3 linked regions of the Oryzias latipes genome follow. The main gene of each other region encodes a partner of the protein of the gene in region 2 in a complex. Links are inferred from orthologs where the notes say so. Each region holds a gene or a part of one and is shown on either strand. Other genes may lie near its edges. The genes, in order: mks1, tctn1 and tmem107.

Region 1 (3,656 bases), on a different chromosome or scaffold from region 2:
TACATGCAAGTTGTTTCTCTTTCGGCTTTTCCCATCAGGGGTCGCCACAGCGAACGAGCCGCATGGTAAACTTGGCAATGTTTTACGCCGGATGCCCTTCCTGACGCAAGCCTCTCAAAGCAACCGGGCTTGGGACCGGCACAGAGGTAGAGAAGGGAACAGGGAGCAGCCCGGATTTGAACCTGGGTTTCAATTCAATTCAATTCAATTCAATTTTCTTTGTATAGTCCAAAATCACAACAACAGTCGTCTCGATGGGCTTCGAAGTAAAACATGAACTTCCACAGACGGAAGGCGCCGCAAACCAGCACGAGCTAAACCGGCTCCCTAGTCTCTTACATGCAAGCAATCAAGATTTTTTTTTTTCTAAATGTAAGCCATTAAGTATCAGAAAATATACAGGAATGCATTGTCAGTACAAAACCGAGATGCACCTTAAAGCAACAACCACTTGACAAACTTGTTTTTTGTCTCTACACATTTACAGGGCCTTTTTCCTTTGGGCATCTAGCTTAAAAGGGACGCCCAGTCAAGACTTGCACATTTGACTTCAGTTGTACAGCAGATGCCAAACCCTGTTCTTTAACCAGACTTGGGACAGGCACATGGAAACACTGGAGAGTGCCCACTGTGTGCCCGCAGTCATTTACAGCACATAGTAGTCCCAGACAATCTCTCATTAAAGAAACAATCAGGCGTTACCCCGGTTAGCTTCTGGGGACTGGTGTGTCCAGGGTGGCAAAGCCGTTTATGGATTCTTTTATTTCCAGTTACAGAATTTTGCAGACAGACAGCAAGTTGTGGCTGAGCTTTATGCTTTAACTAAGCCTCTGCTGCACTCTCCTACACTGATGCTCTTACTTTTCCAGTCTTTTAAAGGTATGTTTCGGCAGAGACGTTCATTGTCGACTCAGCAATTGCTAGTCTTGAAGACTTTTTTAGATAAACTGTTGTGGAATTGTGTAGCTTTTCAAGCTAAGCGTATGCAAAACGTTCACACCTTTTCAAGAGACTTGGTCCGACAGGTCTGGGTGACCTCTGATAGAGACTGAGAAGGCAAACTGGACCAATCTGAAAGAAAAACATCAGTTACAGCTAAAGAGGCAAAAACAACAATCAAACAACTACTGATACTTAAGACTTACTATTGGGCAATTCCAAAAAGAAGTGTATGTACAAGTTGTCATATTCAAAGCCTTGAGCTGAGACTGTAAAAAAATAGTAGTTATTAATTCTAAACGTGTATTATATATATATAACTGCTAAAGTTAGCTCTGCCTTTTGACTTACCTATTTCTCCGTTCATCAGGTAACGCAGTGTACCTGCAGGAGGCTAAACAACACACATCTCATAGCTCACAAACCTAAATACAAGTCAACATTTACTCAAGTGATAACTATCCTTAAACCTTAATCCTTAAACCTTTTTTTGGCTAAAACTCCTCAAATGTAAGAATTTGCTCTTTAGTATATAGTTGATAGATCATAACATACTTGTCTTTTTTTTAGACCATGGTAAGCATTGAAAATTTGAATTAAAAACGTTACATTAAAACGCCTTACCAGCAATTAACGACATTTATTCAACGGAAACAATAACATACAGGCTGAGACTGCAAGAGTCACAATAACACCGAATGTGGAAAAAATGGACACTTTTCAACAAATAGACACAGGATTGACCTCTGTTTTGAATGTAGTTTGTGGTTTGTTTTCATGTAACAAAAAATCAATAAAAATAAAGTTTAAAACAAAAAACGCCTTACCATTTCAAAGTCCTGTCCAACAAGACCACTGAGGAACTCTTTGTGCCTCACATACAGCTATAAAGAGGAGGGACAAAGTTGATCCTGATTACAGCTTTCATCTTCCATTTTAGCAATAAAAATGTTCTGAATCTCTTTCCTGGTTTATTAGAAAATGCTGATATTGACTCACATCTTTATACATGTTCTGCTCCTTGTTTTTTTCCTCTGGCTTCATGCTTTTTGATACGTTCTCAAAAGTAAGACGCCATATTTCTCGGTTTTCTCCCTCAGCGACAATCCTGTCCAACGACACAAACGTCCGGTTAAATGTCTGATTCACTCTATTATTTTTGCTGTGGTTTTAAATGTACTTTGCTTTTTTCTTTTTTTAAACATACAATCGTTTTAGGATTTGCAGCTTACTGCTGCCATTCTACTCATCCCTTGTGCTATCCTAGGCACTTTACCATTGGGAGTTGGGTCATCTAGACCCACTATTCAGTGCTCTGAACTTTTTTTCTTCAATGATTTGTGATCTTCACTGGTGTCCATGGATTACATGAAATCTTTCCACCTTTATCCACCTTTGTCATGGTAGGAATTACACGTCAATGCAAGGGTGGGGTCATCTAAGATAGCACAAGGGTTAAATGATACGCTAAAAAATGTAGGATTCATTCTCAGCCATCACAGAAGCCTTGTAAACTTGCCTGTAGGGCTCTCGGCCTTTGTTGAAGTCAGGTTTTACAACTATAGTTCCATGGCCGTCGGTTTTTATAGTTATCAGCAGGCACTCGTTCTCTTTTTGACCAAGCCTGAAAATTCACAATAAACATCCTGTCAAATGGTTAGTAGAGCTTTGCACTGGCCAGCTCTGCATGTCATGAGATTAAAAAGTTTACCTCTTACAACCCTTGTGCTGTCTTGTGGGGTATGTGCATCTGGACCCCACAAAATAGCACAAGGGAAAATATCATACAAAACATCAATGATTTGTCTGGTTTCAGATGTAGAAAATACATGTAGAGAAGCTTTATCCTCAGTCTAAGTACCAATAATAATTTACTTAATTTATATAGCACTTTTCGAAAACGAGATTACTAAATTCTGTACAATTAATATGAGACAAAATCCGGATTACAAACAGTTTACAGTATGTAGTAATAAAACCCAGCACACACACAAAACAGTGATAGCAGTTAAAATCAATGAATCAATAAAAAAAAAAAAATTTAAATAAATCCTATGTTTAAATTTAAGAACCGGTAAAATCATTAAAAGCACTCCTATAGAGGTGGGTTTTTAAAAGAGATTTAAATAATGGTAGGGACCCAGCGAGCCTGATCTCTTCAGGGAGACTGTTCCAGAGTGTTGGGGCTCTTACAGCAAAGGCCCTGTCTCCCCTGATCTTCAATCTAGATTGTGGGATTGTTAAAAGGCCTTTTGCCGAAGATCTAAGATTGCGACCAGGTACGTAAGGAATGAGGAGATCGGCTATATATTTAGGGGCCAGACCACAGAGTGCTTTAAATGCACTATTAATGCATCATTAAAATCTATTCTAAAATGGACTGGGAGCCAGTGCAAAGACGCTAAAACTGGAGTGAGGTGGTCTCTCATTCTGGTTTTGGTTAGGAGTCTGGTGGCCGCATTTTGGACTAACTGGAGTTGATACACACTCTGCTGTGAAAGACATGTGTAGAGTGCGTTACAATAGTCCAGACGGGAAAAAATAAAAGCATGAATCACCATCTCAAGACATTTTTTTGATAGGAGAGAGGTTATTCTGTATAACCTTTGTATTTGCCAGAAACAAGATTTGACCACAGATTTAACATGGGTCTCCCCATTCAAATTGGTATCAAATTTCACTCCCAGATTTCTGCAGCTTGAAGAAACATTGTTAGA
Region 2 (2,447 bases):
TTCCTCCCACAGTTCAAAAACATGCTTCATAGATTATTTTGTGTCTCTAAATTGCCACTAAGTGTGCATGTGTGGCCCTGGTCAGTAGCTGGGATAGGCTCCAGCAACGCAGTGACCCTAAAAGGGATTCAGTGAATTCTGAAGATGGATGTATCTTTTGTGGGCCGACTTGTCTTAACTAGAAATATCTTTAATTAAATAAGTCATTTTATCTCAGTAAAATTTTTAACTTTTCATTTATTGTGTCTTATTTTTATAAAATAATGTCAGCTATGAACTCTATAGTTGCAGTTACTTAATCTTAAAAAAAAAACAAAGTGAAAAAGGAAAAGGCAGTTCTGTATTTATAATTAAATTCAAGTTTCAGTCTCATAACCACATGAGCTTCTGACACAAACGTTATTTTATTCATATATACTAATACTTTTAGGCTTGAAGCTCTGCTTGTGGTCAGTTTTAATGCAAACTCTGCTCTCGTATGATGATTAACTCGGGTTCATGTCAGCTTTTTCCTGAGCTCCCCCCCCCCCCCCCCCCCCCCCCAAAAGTGAGATTTCTGTGTCTCTGGAACTAAAAACTCCTAAAGATTTATAACTTGAACTTCTCCTTTCTGCCTTTTTTTTGGTTAAAAAACAAAAACAGGTTTAAATAAGACTTTTGATTGAAAAAAATAATTTATCAAATCTTATTTACATAAATTACACCACAAAGCCTGCAGGCGTCTGTTCAAACAAAGGGGAAAAAGAAGTTGAAGGGAAGTTTGGCGTCGATGGTGGGCGTGGCTCTGTAACCAGGAAGTGCGTCTGCAGAAACTGGAACGAAGGCCACAGAGCTTCTGACCGGCAGGCTGCCGCCGCCGCCGCTCAGCAGAGGCTGCGGAAGACGGAAAGCAGAGGGTTAGAGTTCATCCCACCTGGAGACGCAAACGTGTCGCTTTATGACAAGACGTTACATAAAAGTTGCAGGAGAGTTCGTTTGTGGGCAGAATTTCCTGTCTCTCATCTCCAGAATATGTTTGTTTTTTTGTTTCTAACAAATATCTCAACTCGATCTAAAACGGTTTGAGTCCACCGTAACAAAACCGCCGCAGTCTCAGTCAAAGACATTCAACAACCGTCCCAGACGGATGACAAACGCTTTGATTTGATTTCTGTCTGTTGAAATGATGAGTCTGATGGAGTAAGTGTGATAAAAGGTCAGGAAGTGATCATTTAGCATGAAGCTGTGAGAGCAGACGGCGTCTTTTAAGGCATCATTCTTCGTCCTGACGTTTGTGTCTGAGGAGGCGGAGCCTAGCCGCTTTTGTCTTTGGATAATCTAAATTTATTCCCAAACCTAAATGTTCTGTGTTTTCTAAGTCTAAAGTCTGAATTCTGAACCTGCGGCTCCTCAAGTCTCACCAAACTGCTGCTGTTGGTCTGAATGATCTCCCGGATGCTCACTATCTGGGCCTGGGGGTTCTCCAGGGATCCATATTTGGTCCATTCGATCTCTAGATGGAGTGAGAGCGGGAGGCTGCAGCTTTGGTCCTCCTGTGAGTCACAGTCACGGCGGAGACGAGTCAAACCGGAGTGTTTGTGGAGCGGAGACGCCCGGCAGAAGATGGGGTCACGGCGGTCTCACCACAGGACTGAAGCTGCTCTGGATGGAGACCCAGTCTAGCTGCTTGTTCAGCGGGGAGTTTCCAAAGGAAGCCACGTACTGCGGGTAGTTTGGTCCTCTGAGGACGTCCAGGAGCTGCTGAAGGACCAGCGAGCAGTTGGCTGCGTCATCCAGCCTGTGCAGATCAGAGAGGTCAGAGGGTCAGAGGTGACCTGAAGGCCACAGACGGCGTGCTGACGGGAGCGGGACGCGTTTGCCTCAGCGTGCAGCCGGACACGGCGTTCACACCGAAGAGGACCGGGGAGCGCCGGTGAGGACCACGCAGGCAGTCCTGCTCGGCGGAGCTGTGGAGCAGAGACAGAGCATCTCTGAGCTCCGTGCTTCTGCTGATCCCTGTGGAGAACGCGGTCAAGGCGCAGAACGGCAGACAGGCGTGAAGAAACCGTCTCTTCTTCTCTGTGGAAGGATATTCTGCGGTTTTCGTTCCAGACAGGAGAGGGCGTCCGACCACATAGCCGGGATTTCCGCTGAGACGAAGAGCCAGCTCGCCGCCGTCCTGCAAACGGCAGACTAACGTCACGGTCATGTGACCAGAGACCGTTGGCGAGTGAGGATGTGCTGCAGCACCTGGACAAATGTAGCCTGGAACTCCTGCTCCAGCAGCACCGAAGCTCCGCGGATGAACCCCAGCACCACGGAGACGGCAGCGTTCACCACCTCGCCCGCCGCGTTGTACCGGATCACATAAACTACCTGGAGAGACAAAGTTCTTCAAAAATCCAATCGCCCAAAACGACTCTGACGTTTCCGAAGAACGGAGACGCTTCGACAGTTCACCTTCAGCG
Region 3 (3,756 bases), on a different chromosome or scaffold from region 2:
CTAAATCAATTTTAAATACTGTTTCTTTTTTTTGATAGCTGCACAAAAATGAAGTTACTGTTTCATGTTTTGTAACCTTGCGGTTCTGGATACTCTTGTCGCCCGACTTTAATTTATCTTCTGGCTCAGTTTGGTTAATATTTCTCTGACAATTAAGTCACCAAATGAGGATAAAGATAGATACAATGAGAGAAATAAGACTTATTTAAAAAAGTATAAATGTATTTTGGATTTAGCGTTGAAAAGCTTTACATGAGAAACAAATACACTACTGACAACAAAAAACTTGGTTTACATTTTAAACTTTTGCTAACTCTCCAACTTATTCAAAACAAACAACATAGTATAATTATTTTTTGTAATTACATAGTTCAAAATATATTTACAAAGATTGAAAAAAAAAACATTCTTTCTGGATCTATTGATGCCTGCTGAAGAAATTCTAACAATGTTGGCCCCTTTTTAAGGTGATCTAATAACTGAATTTCTGCAGCTACTGTCTTGTAGCAACAAATGGAAGCGTTCATCCATTCAATCTGAATCAACTCCTCTTCATAACGGCTTCTTCTTCAGTCCAAAAACCGCAATAAACAGAAGAATCTCCACAAAAGCTGGCAAGACACTGAAAGATGAGAAATAGAAAAAGAAATTAATAGAAATCCAGAAAGATAAAAGAACAATCCTTAAATGCATTCAAATTCCTTCAAAATAAGAGTGACTGTTACAGTATGCTGTCTTTCTAAAAGCCAACTATTCATTGAAAACAAGCATGCAGGCGAACCAACCTGCAGGTGGCAAAAATCACCCAGTAAGTCCAGCATTCCCATTGTTCAAACACAAAGAAAGACAAAGATACGGATGCGGAGCAGTGGACAGCTAATGCTGAAAGGAGCAGCTGTCAGGGAAAACTTTGGGGAAAAAAGGATAAAACGGATTTGCTAGGCGTCAAAAGACTAACCTGCAAATAGCAAAGATCCACCAGTAGATGTCACACTCCCACTGCTCAAACAGAAAAAAGAGCAAAGCCACAGAGGCACTGGCATGGACTCCTGTTGCTATAGCAGACAAGTTCTTAGTTACGGAATTGTAACTAATGACTAATAAGCATTGTTTAATCCATTCATTTATTCTTGTAAATCATGTTTTCTGCTATAAACCAGATGCTCATTTAGAAGCTAGAGCTGCTGGAGAAAAGACAATATCTGAAAATCTTTATTTTCCTCACAATTGTGAATCAATAGTTCAGTATCAATGACCATGACAAATATGAATCATCACTGTCAGTATAAAGGATACACAGAAGACCCTGGCTGGAACTGAACATGGAGACTCCTGAAAAGAAGCCTGCTAGCTCGATAGCAAACAGACCAAGAGTGGCTGACAAGGCTACAACCAACCTGAACAATAACCAAAGGGATGCGGGTTAGAATGTGAGCATTCAAGATTTTTTCATATATTTTCAATCATTTGTTACTTACTTTCTGTCTTCTGTGTCATACTGCTCCTGAGTAAACTCCAAAGGCAAACATGCCTTCACATTATTCTCCTAGAAAACAGAAACAAATACATAAAATAGCCGATTATGGTAACATTTCTAGATAAAAAATTGTTTATAAAAAAAAGGAGAAATAAACTTTTTGCAGCAAACAAAAATCTATATTTCTGCAGTTTAGGAAAAATATTTTGTGGAGTAGAATTTATTTCTATTTCACGATTTTTTTAAAAACTTTTGTTCTTTATTTTAAAATCACAAACTACACGTTATTGATATTTACAAAAAACAATAATAATATTAATAATAATAATAAAAAATATTTCTATGGCAGCTTGAGTCGTCCTTCAAGCTTTAACAACAACACGGACTGTCCTTACTTACCCTGGACCAAAAGATTGTGATGACGATGACAAGGTGAGCTATGATGGTGAGAAACCGCGCAGGAATTAGACTGCTAATAGAAGACATGTTGTTTCTGGTTCACAGAAGTGTCAGAAATGCTAGAAAATTCTAAATTTTAAAGCCAAACGGTCACGTTGGAGTTCACAGATCTCACACAACAGTCGTCGCTCCTGGTTCGCGGTATATCAACGCAACCGCGGTTCAATAAATAATCCAAAAATGATAATCAAGCATTTTTAAAGCCAATGAACTTATAAAATTAAAATTTTACTCTTTAATAGTCTTTTTTCTAAACAAAATTATACATAGAAATTTAACACACCCCGGTGTCGCATTGGGTTGCTACAACAGCCAGTGGCTGGGTGCATCCAATATTGCGACCCGTAAAAACATCCACCTTCCAAACGTTCCGGACACAAAAGGGAAGTGGATGCGACCCATCGCCTTTGTTGTTAAGCAGCACACAACACTAGCATCTAACGACAACACACACACAAAAATAAAACATGACAAAGTTAACGTGTGATTGTAGGATGAACATAGCCTCGCGTATCTAAAGAACGTAGAAAAGCCGATTTTTTTTTGTTTTTATTTTCTAAAAGAATGTTTTTTAAACGCTCCCCGATAAAGCTAACATTTTGGGGCAAAACGCCCCCACCCCCCTCCACCAGTTTCAGCAACCATTCCATTCGCATTTGGATAGACGACAGAGATTGAGCAGCACACCTCAAGCACAGCTATCTGTGCACGTCAGGGCCTAGTGTTTGCTACAAAACAGCCGGGGATTATTTTTCACACCCACTTAATAATCGTTTTAAACGAAACATTTTTTCTTTGGAAGCGTGCACATCAGAACAACAGAGCATGGCAGAAGAGGACTTCCAAACCTTTACCTCTGTCATGGACGCGCTGGTTCGTATCAGTGTAAGTGTGCGACGCCGGTTTATTCTAATATAGCCATTTCAAACGTGCTACATCTAAGAGAGGAAAAACAATAATGTAGTCTTACATATAACTTGCTTTATTGATAGTATGTTGATCTGGACAATCATGGCTATGAAATAAGAATGCGGAGCATTTTTCTACCGTTTACAAACATGTTTTGTCATCGCTTTAATAACCCGGAATAGGCTGAAAGCCACAGTCAGGTGGTGAATGGCAATAGAAAATATACAGTCGCAACGACCACATAATTCATTTTTAATAGATATAAGAACCTAAGAATGTTGCCAAATAGCATAAAATCAGGGCCAGAGGAAGATGTGCGTTGTCATAGAAACCGGATGCCGCGCCTTGTGGCTGCAGTAATGGAAAGGGGCCACCACAACCTAAAAAAAAAAGAAGCAACAATCAATGGCAAACAGAATGTTTCTGCATTGTTTGAATTGTTTTTTTTTATTAAAAATAATGTCTCAGCCAATTTACTCTTAGAAATAGGAAGCAGTGAAGCAATCACAGGAGGACTGCTAAGCATCATGGAGGTTACGTTCTTCTTTCCTTCTTGTCCTGTGCAATAAACGGCACACAACCAGAGTTCATCTAGATATTTCCTTCATCACTGCCATCATTTCCTTTCTTTAAATCAAGTCGCAGCTCTGTTGTCTTCTTGAACTTTCCTCTTCCCTCTTCTCCAGTCCAACATGAAGATGATGGAAAAGGAGCTGCTGTGCCCGGTGTGTGACGAGATCGTGAAGCAGCCCGTCCTCCTGCCATGCCAGCACAGTGTGTGTTTGCTGTGCGCGGCCGAGGTGTTGGTACAAAGAGGCTACCCTCCTCCAGACCTCCCTCCGGAACCCAGATCACCAGCCTCCTCGCCGAACACTCGGTCCCCACGCCAAACTCACAGACCCACACCCAGG

Evidence for each region.
Region 1: tctn1 (region 2) and mks1 share a complex: the UniProt entries of both Homo sapiens proteins name them as parts of the tectonic-like complex. The link is inferred for Oryzias latipes from reciprocal best matches to the Homo sapiens genes TCTN1 and MKS1.
Region 3: tctn1 (region 2) and tmem107 share a complex: the UniProt entries of both Homo sapiens proteins name them as parts of the tectonic-like complex. The link is inferred for Oryzias latipes from reciprocal best matches to the Homo sapiens genes TCTN1 and TMEM107.

What each region holds. Positions count from the first base shown.
Region 1 is NC_019872.2:25,018,221-25,021,876, reverse strand, and holds part of mks1 (Meckel syndrome type 1 protein), read right to left. Parts: intron 2,564-3,656; coding exon 2,459-2,563; intron 2,048-2,458; coding exon 1,939-2,047; intron 1,824-1,938; coding exon 1,767-1,823; intron 1,334-1,766; coding exon 1,291-1,333; intron 1,209-1,290; coding exon 1,146-1,208; intron 1,072-1,145; coding exon 1,001-1,071; intron 1-1,000. UniProt on the Homo sapiens protein: Component of the tectonic-like complex, a complex localized at the transition zone of primary cilia and acting as a barrier that prevents diffusion of transmembrane proteins between the cilia and plasma membranes.
Region 2 is NC_019868.2:27,631,583-27,634,029, reverse strand, and holds the end of tctn1 (tectonic-1), read right to left. Parts: coding exon 2,440-2,447; intron 2,356-2,439; coding exon 2,230-2,355; intron 2,159-2,229; coding exon 2,073-2,158; intron 1,998-2,072; coding exon 1,860-1,997; intron 1,778-1,859; coding exon 1,624-1,777; intron 1,533-1,623; coding exon 1,401-1,532; intron 874-1,400; coding exon 727-873; 3' UTR 520-726; downstream 1-519. UniProt on the Homo sapiens protein: Component of the tectonic-like complex, a complex localized at the transition zone of primary cilia and acting as a barrier that prevents diffusion of transmembrane proteins between the cilia and plasma membranes.
Region 3 is NC_019874.2:18,549,620-18,553,375, reverse strand, and holds tmem107 (transmembrane protein 107), read right to left. Parts: upstream 2,271-3,756; 5' UTR 1,964-2,270; coding exon 1,877-1,963; intron 1,547-1,876; coding exon 1,479-1,546; intron 1,398-1,478; coding exon 1,297-1,397; intron 1,056-1,296; coding exon of another isoform or gene 959-1,055; intron 883-958; coding exon 786-882; intron 623-785; coding exon 553-622; 3' UTR 201-552; downstream 1-200. Other genes in the region: tripartite motif-containing protein 46, read left to right, coding at 2,762-2,821, 3,532-3,756. UniProt on the Homo sapiens protein: Plays a role in cilia formation and embryonic patterning. Requires for normal Sonic hedgehog (Shh) signaling in the neural tube and acts in combination with GLI2 and GLI3 to pattern ventral and intermediate neuronal cell types.